Linked DNA regions of Medicago truncatula. The protein of the gene in region 2 interacts with the protein of the main gene of each other region in a pairwise test. Links are inferred from orthologs where the notes say so. Each region holds a gene or a part of one and is shown on either strand. Other genes may lie near its edges.

The links. The genes of interacting proteins can lie anywhere in the genome.
Region 1: the proteins of actin-related protein 2/3 complex subunit 2A (region 2) and actin-related protein 2/3 complex subunit 4 interact in binary tests that used the Arabidopsis thaliana proteins (3 or more experiments, as listed by UniProt). The link is inferred for Medicago truncatula from reciprocal best matches to the Arabidopsis thaliana genes DIS2 and ARPC4.

Annotation. Positions count from the first base shown.
Region 1 is NC_053049.1:39,402,719-39,410,393, reverse strand, and holds the start of actin-related protein 2/3 complex subunit 4, read left to right. Parts: upstream 1-4,659; 5' UTR 4,660-4,823; coding exon 4,824-4,826; intron 4,827-4,901; coding exon 4,902-4,970; intron 4,971-5,057; coding exon 5,058-5,110; intron 5,111-5,242; coding exon 5,243-5,270; intron 5,271-5,406; coding exon 5,407-5,481; intron 5,482-6,380; coding exon 6,381-6,485; intron 6,486-7,270; coding exon 7,271-7,360; intron 7,361-7,675. Other genes in the region: TBC1 domain family member 13, read left to right, coding at 1-3, 849-1,028, 1,503-1,619, 2,093-2,254.
Region 2 is NC_053049.1:32,347,562-32,354,757, forward strand, and holds the start of actin-related protein 2/3 complex subunit 2A, read right to left. Parts: upstream 3,014-7,196; 5' UTR 2,993-3,013; coding exon 2,778-2,992; intron 2,686-2,777; coding exon 2,619-2,685; intron 1,981-2,618; coding exon 1,773-1,980; intron 434-1,772; coding exon 264-433; intron 1-263. Other genes in the region: membrane-bound transcription factor site-2 protease homolog, read left to right, coding at 6,789-7,040, 7,122-7,196. UniProt on the Arabidopsis thaliana protein: Functions as actin-binding component of the Arp2/3 complex which is involved in regulation of actin polymerization and together with an activating nucleation-promoting factor (NPF) mediates the formation of branched actin networks.

The sequences.
Region 1 (7,675 bases), about 7.1 Mb from region 2:
GCAGTGAGTATATTATATATTTTTGACTTGTAATCTCTTAGTTCTCAAGTTTATAATCCATCATTGAGAAGAATATTACATATGACCCTGATGTTTTGTTAACCTCTTTTTGTAATGTCTTGTTAACCTCTTTTTGTAATCCATGCTTTGCTAAGTCCACCTGCAGTCTCCTTTACATTTAATTAATTATATTTTTGTTTTTATAATCCTTTTGACTTGTAATCTCTTAGTTCTCAGTTTATAATCCATCATTGAGAAGAATATTACATACGACCCTGATGTTTTGTTAACCTCTTTTTGTAATGTCTTGTTAACCTCTTTTTGTAATCCATGCTTTGCTAAGTCCACCTGTAGTCTCCTTTACATTTAATTAATTATATTTTTGTTGCGTAAAATCTTATTAATTTAAATTACATATTTTCCTAGGAACCTTTAACAATAATTTGTGTAACATTGATTTTGAAATTTCTGTTTAAAAAGTGCTTACCCGTGATAATCAGAAGCACCATATGCATACCTGTAATTCTTTACCTTTTCCACACATAGAATTTCATGTTTTCTGTTTCCTCATTCCACTGGTTGATATTTCCAAGTGTATGCATAAATTGAAGGGGAAGCCATAATGGGGGGTAGAGATGACAGATCAAAATTTAGGTGTGATCAGTATAAAGGTATCATTGCTCACGGGAATTTAGACAAGAAATTTTGCTATGATGTATGATCACGGGAAGGGAATGTGAAGAAAAAATTATTGTTAGTAATAAGGAGTCATGTATGTTTATGGTGCATTTATGTTGTCTTTTATTATTGGTTTATTGTGCTTAACAGCTCCTTATTACAATATGCAGGCCTTCGCCGAAGCTGATGCATTCTTTTGTTTTGTTGAGCTATTGAGTGGGTTGCGAGATAACTTTGTTCAACAACTAGACAATAGTGTTGTGGGAATCCGTTCAACTATTACAAAATTGTCACAGCTTTTAAGAAAACATGATGAAGAGTTGTGGCGTCATCTTGAGATCACTTCCAAAGTAAGAGTTTTTAATATATTGTTACAGTTTTGCTTTTAGTTTACATTTGGAAATATATTGAGTAGGCTGTGCATTTATTTTAAATTATTATATATAGTTTTTGATATAGCTAATTATTTTTTCGTTCGCACATTGTGGTATATACTGTTATGCAATTGATTGTGGTGTTTGTGCACTGCTCCGTTCTATTAAATTTGTTAAATAAACTAACATGGAATATATACAAAAATGCGGGCTCTTTCCTGCTTCATTGCTTTGATGATATTACTTCCTGTGTTAGAATTGTTATTTTGACCATTAGTTTTTGTCTGTTAATACCTTTTTATGTTTATCCATCAATTAAGCAACAGGGAGGGGTAATTAGTCTGTTTACAATTTTGTTTGCATGCTTGCCAAATTATTCAACCATATATTTACTATTGGCTATTAAACAGTGTTTCAGTAATGGCTCACTTTTCTTCTTTTGAATGTCAGATCAATCCCCAATTCTATGCATTTAGGTGGATCACTCTCCTATTGACTCAGGAATTCAATTTTGCTGACAGTCTTCATATTTGGGACACTCTTTTAGGTGACCCAGAGGGTCCACAGGTACAATTTTATTCCAATTTACTTTTTAAATAATTGATTGGCATGTAGCATTTCAGTAATGGCTCATGTTTCTTTGATGGAAATGATAAGTCAGATTGGATTTGAAGTTGCGAAGTTACTTTTAGTGTCAATTTTCTCATACTGGTGTTGATTTTTCATTAGTGTTTCACTTTGCATTGCTACTCTTAATCCACTTTAGAGGATCCCGATTGTGAAGAAAAGATGGAAGATATGGCCATATTATCGGGACATTAGAACACGTTTTTTTTTCCTCATTTTCTTTTGTGCATGTGAGCGTGTTTCGTAAGTCTCCAGTTTTTAGTGACTATTGTTTGCTACTTGAAATTCCTGTCGCTTCTTAAACTGTATATAGAACTGGTGATGGTAGATCAGCAAGTTAATGATTTTGGGTAATGTATGTATCTTTTTTGTTAAAATAACTTAAGTTGGGAAACTGACACAATGTTCTGCAGGAGACTCTTCTCCGGGTGTGTTGTGCAATGCTAATTCTCATTCGCAAGCGCCTCCTAGCGGGTGATTTCACTTCAAATCTCAAGCTGCTACAAAATTACCCCTCGACAAACATTAGCCATTTGCTCTATGTTGCCAATAAGTTTCGTGTACAGTCAGTCTAAGGGTTTTTGTTCCCCGCATTTTTTGCATTTTGCTTTTGTATCTCTAATTTAGTGTTTGAAATCCAATGTTTGTAAATGACTCTAAATTTGAGGCTGTAGCAACTTTTTATTTTTCTCGTACTTTTTAGTTTTTTTTTCCTTCATGTGCCTTCTATCAATTTGTGCTTGGTGAAACATGCGTATATTCACATCTCCCCACTCTTCAAAGAATAATAGTTTGTTTAGACATTGGATCAAATTGTAATGTGAAATTATCAAATAAGTTATATTGGAGTATAGCTATTACGTAGCACACTACTTTGTAATAGTGAGAAGAAAAAAAAACATAAATTGGAGAGGAAAGGCTCTTGTGAATGCCTCTTCCGTGTGAATGAAGTGGCTTCTATTACAATGATATTTAACTAATATTTTAATTAAAGATTTAAATAATATATAAAAAAGTAAAATTGTACTTGCTATAGTTTAAATCTAAGAGTTTTTCTAATTACACCATGTTTAATCCTGGTTGCACTCCAAAATGACAAAATTATCCTTCCATAAAATTAATTTTCAAAAAGCATCTTTTTATCTGGGTTACACCCTAAAATCCCTCTTCAATTTAAGTAGGTCATGTAAACTTAGTTTCAGTAGGTCATATAAACTTAGTTTCAGTGTACATACTTAAACTCAGTTTAAGTAGGTCATGCAAACTTAGTTTCAGTAGGTCATGTAAACTGAGTTTAAGTGTACATACTTAAACTCAGTTTAAGTAAGTCATGCAAACCGAGTTTAAGTGTATTTAAAAGTTCAACCTTGTTCAATGATTCTACGTGATCTCAGTTTAAGTATGTACATGTAAACTTATTTTAACTAGGTCATGTAAACTAAGTTTAAGTGTACATACTTAAACTCAGTTTTAAGTAGATCATGTAAACTCAGTTTATGTAGGTTATGTAAATTGAGTTTAAGTAGATTATCTAAACTAAGTTCACATGAACCTACTTAAACTGAATTTAAGTTAACATCAACAATGTAAAACTGAAACTGTCGTACAGTGCAGTTGAACAAGAAGAATAAAATTGAAACCAGCGTTATTGAAAAAGAAAAAAAAATTCACTTATTTATATACAAGCTAGTATGAATGAAAGATGTTTTGATTCACTCTTTAATCTTCCAAAGAGATTAATTGAACATCAGGATTGTTTGATCGTTGGTGGGTGAAAGAAAGTGAAATTTTAGAGTGACAATGAATGAAATCAAAATTTTAAGAAAATTTATATAAAAGGACAATTTTGGTATTATCAAAAACTTTTTTAAAAAATTAGGTGTAATCAAAAATATATAGAATGTGAATAGAAAAACTCTTAAATCAATGGTATAATTGAAAAGATAAAAAAAGTCGGCCAAAAATCTCTTATGCCTTCTTTTCAATAGATAGTTCTGCTCCAAGTCATACTTTGTACTTTGAATGAATTTTACGATATGATACTAGGTTTTTTATTTTAACAAGTTATGATACTAGTTAGAGACCCGGGGTAAATTTTACTGATTTTGTTTGTATATTTTATTTTAAATACATAAGTAAAAAATAGTTAATTTGAATAATATAAAAAGAGAAATGATATTTATACAACCATTTATTGACAATTCTTTTATATTCATATACTATGTTTTTTTTTTTTTCTCTATTGTTTTTGGCAGTGAAAAAAAAAATGTTGTTACAAAAGTTATTTCAAATGGATGTTTAAATATCATTAATCTATTCATAATTATACCAAACTCGTCTGCTTGAAATATATTTCTTTATCTCTTTGATGAAATTATTCTTAATAGTTTACCGTGTTGCACCTTCTGGTTGCTGACAAATTAATAGTTGTTGATTGGCATATTAATTTTGTTACATATGCATAAATCCTTTGTATATAATGCATTAGTTTTTGGAAAATAAATTTGTTTTTGATTGAAAATATCTATGTAATTTAACGTCTTTTTTAGTATTATAAGTTTTTTTTTATTTGGATTAATCCATGTAACACATAAAAACTGTTGTTTTCAGGCTCTGATGTTATGCATGACACACTATAATAATGCCATATTGCGAAATAAGATGACATTAGAGTTGAAAATCAAGAGGCACCGTGAGTATAGTTCAGTTGGTAGGGTTATGCATTGTTTATTATATGTAGGGGTTGAGGTTTAAATTTCGGACATTCCATTTATTCAGTTTGAAAAAGGTGAATTTCAACCACTAAATAGTTGACAAAAAAAAAATTGAAAATCAAGAAATAAGAAAACTTACATGAATTAGTCTAAAATGATATTTAAATCTACTTTTTTATCTTAATATGAATTTTTGACCAGCGACTTTTATTTGTTTAAAAAAAATGTAAAAAATGATTTTTGTGATTGTGATGAATAAATAATATATAACATAAAGCGGGTAAGACAAAGAAAAGTGTAGTAGCAGGTGAGATTCGTTGATTGATTCGGATCCCTTTTTCCTTTCTATATTTGATTTGATTTGATTTGATTCATTCACTCGCTTAAACCGTACTTCAACTTCTAATTCGTCAGATTCAGACCCAAAGCAATGGTACGATACACACTGAATCTTGTTCTTCATCATCGCAATTTTTCATCTTCTCAATTCATGTGTTTTTGATTTCAGGGTAGCACAACATTACGCTTATACTTAACCTGCATTCGCAACACACTCGATGCTGCTATGTGCCTCCAGGTTCACCAGCTCTGCTTCTTCACACCATTTTCTATATTCATTCATTTTGTTTCCGATCGATCATCAATCCTATTTTCGTAATTGCAGAATTTTCCTTGTCAAGAAGTTGAAAGACATAACAAACCCGAGGTTGAACTCAAGTAAGCATTTTCTCACTTACACCGATTAACATCATTATAGTTACATCGATCAGTGCTTATGCTATGTTTAAGATTTTCACCTAACTAACTTAATTGAATTGACGTTCCCTTTTTTTTTTTTTTTTTTTGCAGGACCAGTCCTGAACTCCTTCTAAATCCTGTAAGACCCCATCTTATATCATATCACTATATCACGTTCATTTACATGTAATCCTTTCTAAATGATGTATGCTTTAAGGAAATTATTATTGTTGCATCAATGCTTCATTGAAAATTTTGTGCTGTTGTTGTTATAGGTTTTGATATGCCGTAACGAGGCTGAAAAATGCTTAATAGAAACCTCTATCAATTCATTAAGGATAAGTCTTAAGGTAAACCTTTTTTCTTGTTTTTTGTCATATGAAATTATTTCTCATCTGAAATTCGTCTCTGCCCTTGTTCATATCATGTATTTATTCATTATAGTCTCACTAAATTGGTCTCTGCAAGTGGCATGTGGCATGTGGCACTAGTCCAAAGATACCCTTAAGGGGTTTCAACATGGTACCTTTCTTTTTAGTATTAGGAGTTAGGACTACTGATCTTAGAAATGTAATTGGGTAAGACCTATATACATGGGATGCAACTGTTGAAATGGGTTTTGTAATGTTTTGCCAGAAAAGTGCGTCTATATTCTATGTAACGGTTACATTCAGCCCCTTTTTTCTTCACTAGAATTGTTTTTTTTAATAGCACCATCATTATTACTATGATATATTTGATAGGAACTGAGTCTGTTGGCAGAGATATATGTGTCTAGTACAATCAGTTTTCAGAGGTCTTCTTAGATGGTGTGTTGAAATCTATCAAGTTATATCCTTTAGTTAAATAAATTCAGATTTGTGAATTTAGATGATAACAGCGCTAATGGTTCATTGATCATACCGGGGTTGAATTATGGTAGAAGAGTTTTTAATATAAGTTTTAGTGATTTAGTCAATTATATAATATTTTGGATACATTCATCCTTTCTTGATGTTTGTTGCATTCTCTCCCGATACAAGAGCATCTTTAAGGCGCCAAAGTAGCAATAAATTGGCTACAAATCTTGTGCTTCAATTAACTTGTGGTGATAATTCACAATTTAATTCTATTAGCAGATAAGCAAACTATATCAAAATTAGAATATGTTAGCAACCTTCAGATTTACTCATGAAGTGCCACTATTCATTGTTAGTTGTCCGTAATTCCTTATTCTTATTTTATTTTATTTTTAATTCATCTTGTGCAGGTGAAGCAGGCTGATGAACTTGAAAACATATTGACGAAAAAATTTCTTAGATTTTTGTCCATGAGAGCTGAGGCTTTCCAAGTACTGAGGAGAAAGCCTGTGCAGGTTTATAGCTCTTGTTTCCTTTTAAAGTCTGGCGATGATTTTTCGATCAAATAAAGTAATGTTTAGATATTGGTGATAGCTAAAATAAAGGTGCAGGGCAGAGGGATAACTTTGTATGAAGTTTCATTGAATCTAGAAAGTAAAAATATTTGTTGAGTTTGCCTCAGATATTGCATGTTTTCGTGATTGTACATGGAATGAATAACTCCTTGTGATTGCCAAGCATAGGCTTACGCATACAACATACTCTATTACTATCAAGTCTCGTCTTGTTCATCTTCTAATTCCTAGTTAACCTTCGATTGAAAAAGTTAGAGAAAACCCTCTTCACACACAATACACTTGACAGGTGAGGAAGTGTCGACTTACCACTAATCCTCGTATTTAATTTATTTTCCCCTTCTACTTTAGCACCATTTTATATACATATGAGTGTCTTTAGAGTAACGGTTCAGGAATCAATGAATATAAAGTTTTTTATGGATCGATTTTCTTTGTAGTTGGTTGTGCTGTGTGTGGGAGTTCATTCTACATAGCCTCAGTTTTCTTATAGTAACATTCGTTGAATTATGACATTGACATTAAATGCTACGTTTTTTTTATAAAATAATTCACTTTTGATTTCTTAACAGGTTCACTTAGTAGTAGTGGTTCGTATTTGTCTTTCTAAATTCACTGTGGTGGATTATTTGCCTTGCTAACAATGTTAGGATTCTTGCTGGACAACCGTTAATGCAAGACATAGCAAATCAGAAAGTCATATTTTTTGTTATTTCTCTTGACAGGGATATGATATTAGCTTCCTTATTACAAATTACCATTGTGAGGAGATGCAGAAGCAAAAACTCATAGATTTTATAGTGCAATTCATGGAGGCAAGAATTTATTGACCCTATAACTTATTTTGCATTTCATTTTGTGGCTTGTACTGATATTTATTGATAGCTATGTGAAATTTTCTGAAATAATATCAGAAGTCCAACCTTTAAAATGTCAATTACCTGAATGCTACAAATAATTAAGTAATATCAAAACTTGTACCCTTTAGAAAACATTACATACCACCATAAAACAAAACGAACAACATTTAGATATTCTTTTATTAGGTTGCAACAATATGTTTCAATTCTCAAGTGGGGTAAGGTGCACTAGGGGCCTGCTTACTGCTTTCCCATTAACATACTTGTAGT
Region 2 (7,196 bases):
AACTTCTCTCTCCGGTATCTCTTTCTTTCTTAGATTCTGTTTTTTCTATAGAACCTCCTCTCTGTTATTAAAGTTCCCTTATATTTTGTATAAATAAAAGTTGACAAGGAACAATATTAAAGCTAAAAGGAAGTCACCCATGCATCTAGGATTGTTATGGATTACTGAACTACTTCTTTGAGTACAAAAAACAATATGAATAAAATACCCCAAGCAAGGATGAAGGTTTCAGTAACAGAAAGTTGCATATTCAACTATCATACCTGAGGAAAAACAAAAAAAGACTCCTTTGGTCGATGAACAAGAGCAACAAGTGGATCCATATCCGGAGCAACATTTCTAGAAGCAAGGTGTTTTAAAATTACCCTTAGTGGTGCACCAAGGACGACCTCCCTTACTGATGCTACTTTTACCAAAAGTGCTTGTCTTTGCTCTGCACAAGATCAACATCGCCAATTGTCAAAGAACAGCATCAACAACAAAATAATTTAACTTATAAATTTCTCTTTCTTAAATAAAACCAAAGATGGAGTGACGAACCAGAATGAAAAAACACAGTTTCCAGAAGAAAAGAAAAATTTGGGCATTTAGATTTATTAGCAAAACATGTCGAGTCTTCTTGAAAAAAAGTATGATAAGTATTAAAAGTTTTGAAATTTGCCAAAAATATTTGGTTCAAGAGATCATCACACAAAGCACAGAGTTCATAAACAAGTTTATCCCACAAACTATGATTTTCAACAAAAGTCTCATTAAGATTTTTCTCTCCGAGTAATCATAGAAACCTTGGCCAAGAAACCAGAGTTACAGGGAAGAAGAGCAAGCTAAATAGTTATTTCCATTTGGCTTTTCTACAGTAGTTAGGGTTCCACAAATAGAGAAAGAAAAACCGTATGTAGGTTTCTGACTTCTCAAAGAATTTTGGGAAGTAGGTTCAAAATCCATCTTAATAAACCAGGGCATTCACTGAGAGAACAAATGCCTTAAAAGGAATGGGAGATGGAGACAGATGACTGCTGGAACGAAAGCAGGACAATCCATCATGTAGAATGATACTGGTTTCACGGTGAATGGGTTCAAGGCAAGCGACGCAAGAACACCAAATGCCAACAGAGGAATTGGTGCATTGTAGGGCATGAGAAATTTGCTGACTTTCAATTTCTCAACTGACCAATGACTCCTTTAATGGTGGTTGGTTCAAATAGAAGTTCTACTGGACCAGATGCAGAACCATGGGACTAAGAGGCAAACCAAGTGGAAAATGGTCTACTTACTGAGAAACGTTAAGAAAACTCTGGAGAGATAAAAAGTTAAATTGATTGAGAATAAAAATGCTATCTTTTATTTCATGTAAACGAAACTACAGAAACTTGAACATAGTTATTAATCTCTACTGCAATTTCAATTAAGAACCATTATCCATCTCTGGGTTACACATCAAATAATATTACTATGAACTAAAACAGAAAAAAGCTCAGATATTGACAATCCAAAGCACATGTAAATCATATATGCAAAATTGAGAATATCAACTTAGTGCTTCAATTATCAATTTATATTGAAATACTATCTAATATCTATAGCAAATGTAAATCCCTGAAACCAAAACAGTGGAAAGAATATACTGTAGCAATGAAAATGCATTACTAATCGGTAGTTTTAATGCATTAGAAAATACAGAAGCTATAAGTTCAGCTAAAGACGAAAAAACTTTTCATAGCAAGGGAAATTCAAAGTTACGGTAACATCCTATACTAAAAACCCTGATATACCTTGATTTGCAGGAACCTTTGAGAGATTTATCTTCAATGTGAGGTTAAAGCCATCCCTTGGAGGATCAAGAATTTGCACAAGACTGCCATATGCAGCTTTGATTGCTTCAATGGCTCCAAAAGGAAGTCCACATACAAAAATAGTTTCCGAAGATGGAGTAGGCAACGATACAGATAGCAAGAAAATATTAGGATTCTTCATTGACACCTACAATTATTTTTTAGCTTGATCAAATATGCAACCCAAAAGTGTCAAACTCAAATTATCTACATTACTCAGTGTTTGTCAATCGTGGATCGCATAAAATAGGGGTTTATTCAAATTCCTCTATAGCGCCTCTATTTGACAACATTTTGGGCATGTTTCAATTGTGAGACTGTTTGGTAGAGTTTATGGAAACAATTTTTGACAAGTCCATAAGCTGTTTTCATTTCAAAAAGGGAGCTTAATGGGATTTGAACAAATCGCTATTTAATGAGATAGACTATTTATGATATGTTTGAATCGACTTGTTTGAGTTTATCTACTAGTATATGCATTTAGGAGAACTAAGGGAAACAAACTCGTGACATGTTCATAAGCTGTTGTCTCCAAGATAGCTTATGAAAACAACTTACAGTTTATACTAAAACAATATAACTAACTTAATTTTATCTTCTATTATAGAAAGAGCTTATAAGTGTTTGTTATATAAGCTTCAAAATAAATTGTTTATGGAAACAAGTTCATATCATAAACATAAATAAGCGCTTATCATGATAAGTGTAGCAGGTGTTCAACAACATTGACTATACGGCGTTTATGATAATAGTAATAATAATCGTGTTAACAAACATTGTTAGTACCTGAATGTGATATCTGACATCGTCAAATTCAACCCAGTGGTGATCGAGTTCAACACCTTTTTCGATACTGAAACAGAAACAGAAACAGAAACAGAAGATATTAACGCAGTTGAAATGAAGGAGTAGCGAAATGAAAACGCATGCGTTTTAGTAACTAACTTTTGAAGGCGATTCAAAAGAGTCTGAAGCAGAAATCTAGAATGGGACTGGAGGAGTATCATCGATGATCCTGACCCTTTCCGCTTTCTTCTCTTCTCTTCTCTTCTCGTGTTTCGTTTCAACAGTTTTTGATGATGATGATGATTATGATTATGTGTATTATTACACTCACTCAGATCCAGACCGATTCTTTTCTTCCACTTACAGATTTTCATTCATTCATTTTTCTCAATCATAATAATCACATCACCATATTTTGTTTCTTTTCATTCTATTTTTTATTATTATATTTATTATTAATAAGATTAATTATTGAAATTCACCACGTACTATATGTGAAGTCCAAAAATGCTACTCAGAGGTTGAATTTTTTCATAATTTTTGTAGGCATGTTTACAACAAAGAAATATGCATTACACAAAAATTTAGAATTTTTCAACTAATGACAAATTAATTATGAATTTATAAAGCGTCAAAAACTCAAAGAACAAAATGATGAAAACTCCGACCTAAAAATTGAATTTTAAATTGATTGTTTGCAGAGACATCTAAAGAAATACATAAAAAGAATTTGCAAAATTTTGTAGCATTTCAAAGATGTTTAATTTTTTTATTTTTCAACCAAAACGTGCGAAATTGCAATTTTGTTATGAGTAAATGTATACTCACGGGTCAAATTTCTTTCTCTAATTTTCTAAGCATGTATATAACATCATAAGAACTTTCCTCGTGAATTTTTAGAGTTTTTAAACGAGATACGAATTAATTATAAAAAATTCATAAGGAAATAAAAATTCATAATAAATCTGTCCCTCGTCAAAAATTACGATCTAGTTCAACTCTTTACACATGATTCTTATAATAGAAATGAAATCACTCAAGTGGTATTTTTGTATAACCTTTCCAGGTTTGAAGCAGCACCATTAGTAAATAATATCAAACAAGATAATAAGATAAATGTTTATAAAAAAAATCACAAACATACATGCTAGTGGAATGTTTATGGACTTGCTGCAAGTTTGACATGTTACAAAACATACCCAACTTTTGTTCAAACTTTACCTTCAAAATTATTAGCACAACAGTTCCAGCCACATCCTTGAACATTCATAATTGAGGAGTAGAAAACCGATAAACGGTAGAGCCACATTTTTCAAGTATTTGGTGTAATTCAACTCTTGCATCAATCTTATAATAGAAAAGTCATCACTCAATTAGTATTTTTGAATAACCTTGCAAGTCATTTGCAGGTTTGAAGTTGCGTCGTAAATGTAAATAATATCAAATAAAACAATATGATAAATATTTAAAAAAGGTTTTATAACATAAATGAACAACTCACATCGTTGAAATTCTTCTTGTTATTGTTTTCAATTGTCTGGCATGCTATTCCGGTTGAAGAGCATGTGGCTTCAATGTTAGTTATGTTTTTGTGTGAAATAATTGATACTCGCGCGTGCGTAAAATGAGAAGTCTTCTCAGTCGTCGATAACAAGCAATTTGGATAGTATAAGATTGCGATCCACGTCCAAATGTAAACAGTAATGACAACAGTCGATAAAAAATTTAACGGTCATAGATTTTGATCCGAGTAAAATCCTTTAAAAGTGAAGAAAAACTTAGTGTGCTATTATTTACCTGTTTTTGTTTGTTTTTGCAGTGCTTTTGTATTTTTATTTTCGTAATTTATTTTTTATATAACTAGATAGATTTATTTTGTCGTGAACAAAGACTTATCTTTTATTTTTTATATAACTAGATAGATTTAATATAATTTTTATGATTTAAAATTTTATTATTTTTAACACTTAATCTACTCTATAAATCTATATATAAAAACAAATGTCTTGCTAAAAGTTTAAACTGCCCATAACCCACTAAAATTTTACAGTTGTTTTTTACAAGTGCTTAAGGGTAAAATATGTAATCTACTACATATATATATATATATATATATATATATATATAAATTTGTGTTATTTTTGTTAGAAACAAATTGAAATCAAATTTGTGTTATTTTTGTTAGTAACAAATTGAAATCATTGATAGTTATTAGTTATTGGATAACAAGTGGTTAATTATTGTGGTTAATTATTGGTTTTTTCATATTATTGAGGTAACTATAGTAGTTTATTATTAAGTTATAAGTCATTTGAATTAACTTATCACAAACCGCTATAAACTTGAATAGAAATAACAATTATCAAAAGATATTTTTTAATTATAAACTACTATAAGACATCCATTCAAATTTATGACTAAGCAACGAGTCAAAATGGGCTACCCGGCCGTTTCGGGCCGAACGGACTGCAGGATTTTTAGGGTCGGGTTAAAAATCCTGGTTTAAATACAGGTTGTAATAATAGAGCCCGAGCCCGGCCCTATACGGGTTCTCGGGTCAGCCCGCACGCACATTTTTTAAAAAAAAAATCTTTTAATGATCCTAATTACTAACCGAACTTGCACAAGTTAAAAAAACATGATCAGATTGCATAGCTATATGCACATAATTACACAGTTTATAATCACACATAGCATATTAACATAGCTATATAATTAATGAAACTCAATCACTCAAAAAAAACTTAGATATCAGATGAAGATATTCATCGTATTATGATCAGCAGTTGTTTTCACAACTCATAATTGGCGATGTTGAGTTGAAATAATAAAGCATATAACAGAAGAAAAATAAAACTTGTATTTTTTTTTTAGAGGATAAATCTTATATTTTGACGACTTAACACTAAATATTTAATGTCTATAAAAATAGAAAACAATAAATATCAATACCATGAATAAATTTAAGAAAGAAAAAGCAAGCCTTTTTTCCACTGCGAATGATAAATATGATTTCTAACTTCTTGATCTTTGAATGATATTTTCAAAACAACAGGATTTGAAGCTCTAACGTCCACTATGGCAACTTCTGTAGTCTCCCATATAGTTTAACTTTTTCTTTTTCCCAGGCTGCCCGTAGCCTAAATGGGCAACCAGCTTTTTCGGACCGGGCTAAAAAATCCTGAATTTATTCGGGCTGCAATTTTTAGGTCCAAGTCCTACGTTTTATTCGGGCTTTTGGGCCGGCCCATTCGACCCGACCCATTTTGATAGCTCTAAAGAGCACGACGTTTTTTTCGTCACCAGCGCACGAAGATCAAATACTAGGCTAAAGATACTTCATAGTAATGATATAAGCTCTCTTATTTACTTTCTTTTGGTACAAACTTCCTCTCAATTTTAATTTGATATAAGAAGACCAATTTTACTTGCAGATGACAAATCTTTGATTTACATATATGGATAATTGGCTTCTTGATGTCAAACTTAATATACAACACTTTTGAATTTTTTTTACGCATAATTATCAGAAGATTCATCGTTGTATTGAAAGTTATTAATTATTATCATATAGATCATGTTTACAAAACTTGACATTAGTAAAGTATCATTTAATATGCTAACAAGTTGCATCAAAATTAACATCTAAAGAACTTTTATCAAACGCCACATGAACACACATAGTCATGTACACATCTTCACATAGATTCTCATAATCAATTCACGTCTCACATAGGTTCATATGTATGCAATGTTCTAGTTTGACTCTACATGCATGTGGTACCAAGTTTTGGAGGTCGGAGTTATGTCACCGAGCGATCCACCATCATTAAATAATTGGAGGTATATTACAAATTAATCCACCCGTCATCAAATATCCATCATTAAATAGGAATGACAATGATGATAATGTAAACTCGACAATGCATGATCCATACACAAACAAATCATTTCATCATCAACATTTACTCCCATAAATAATTTAACATCATCTTAATATTCACATCACCAACATCAATAAAACACCATCACTTCGTTTAGGCAATTTGCATCTTAGATAATTCGTCAGTTAGGCTTTGATAAATTTAATTATTGAAAAGAAATGACTACTTTGCCCTTGACCGATAAAAGTGCCGCCGTAGTGGTGGAGGAACAACAATTTTGTACCTGATGGAAACGAGACGAATGCGAAGATTCGTGAGCCATCAAAAACCCAACAGCAGAACTCTTCTCCCTCTTCACGCTCCTTCTTCTTCCTCCTCTCATCTCTCCAACACTATTTCCTTCTTCTATTGCGATTACAAATTCATCTCTTTCAATAAACCTCTCTACACATTCGGTCGCAAACATGCCAACTTTTTTAAACTCTGGTTTTCTATTGGCCTTGGTTTCGCACTTTCTGCTATGCTCGCTGTTACGCTGGTAACAATTTTTATCAGTTTGTAATTGGTAATTTATTTTGTTTTTATTCAATTTGATTTGATTTGTTGTTTTTTGTTTTAGATTTTGGTTTGGGAGGTTGCAACGGCTTTGAATATATGTGGAGAAAGTAATAAAGTTCGAAGTATTGCTAGTGAA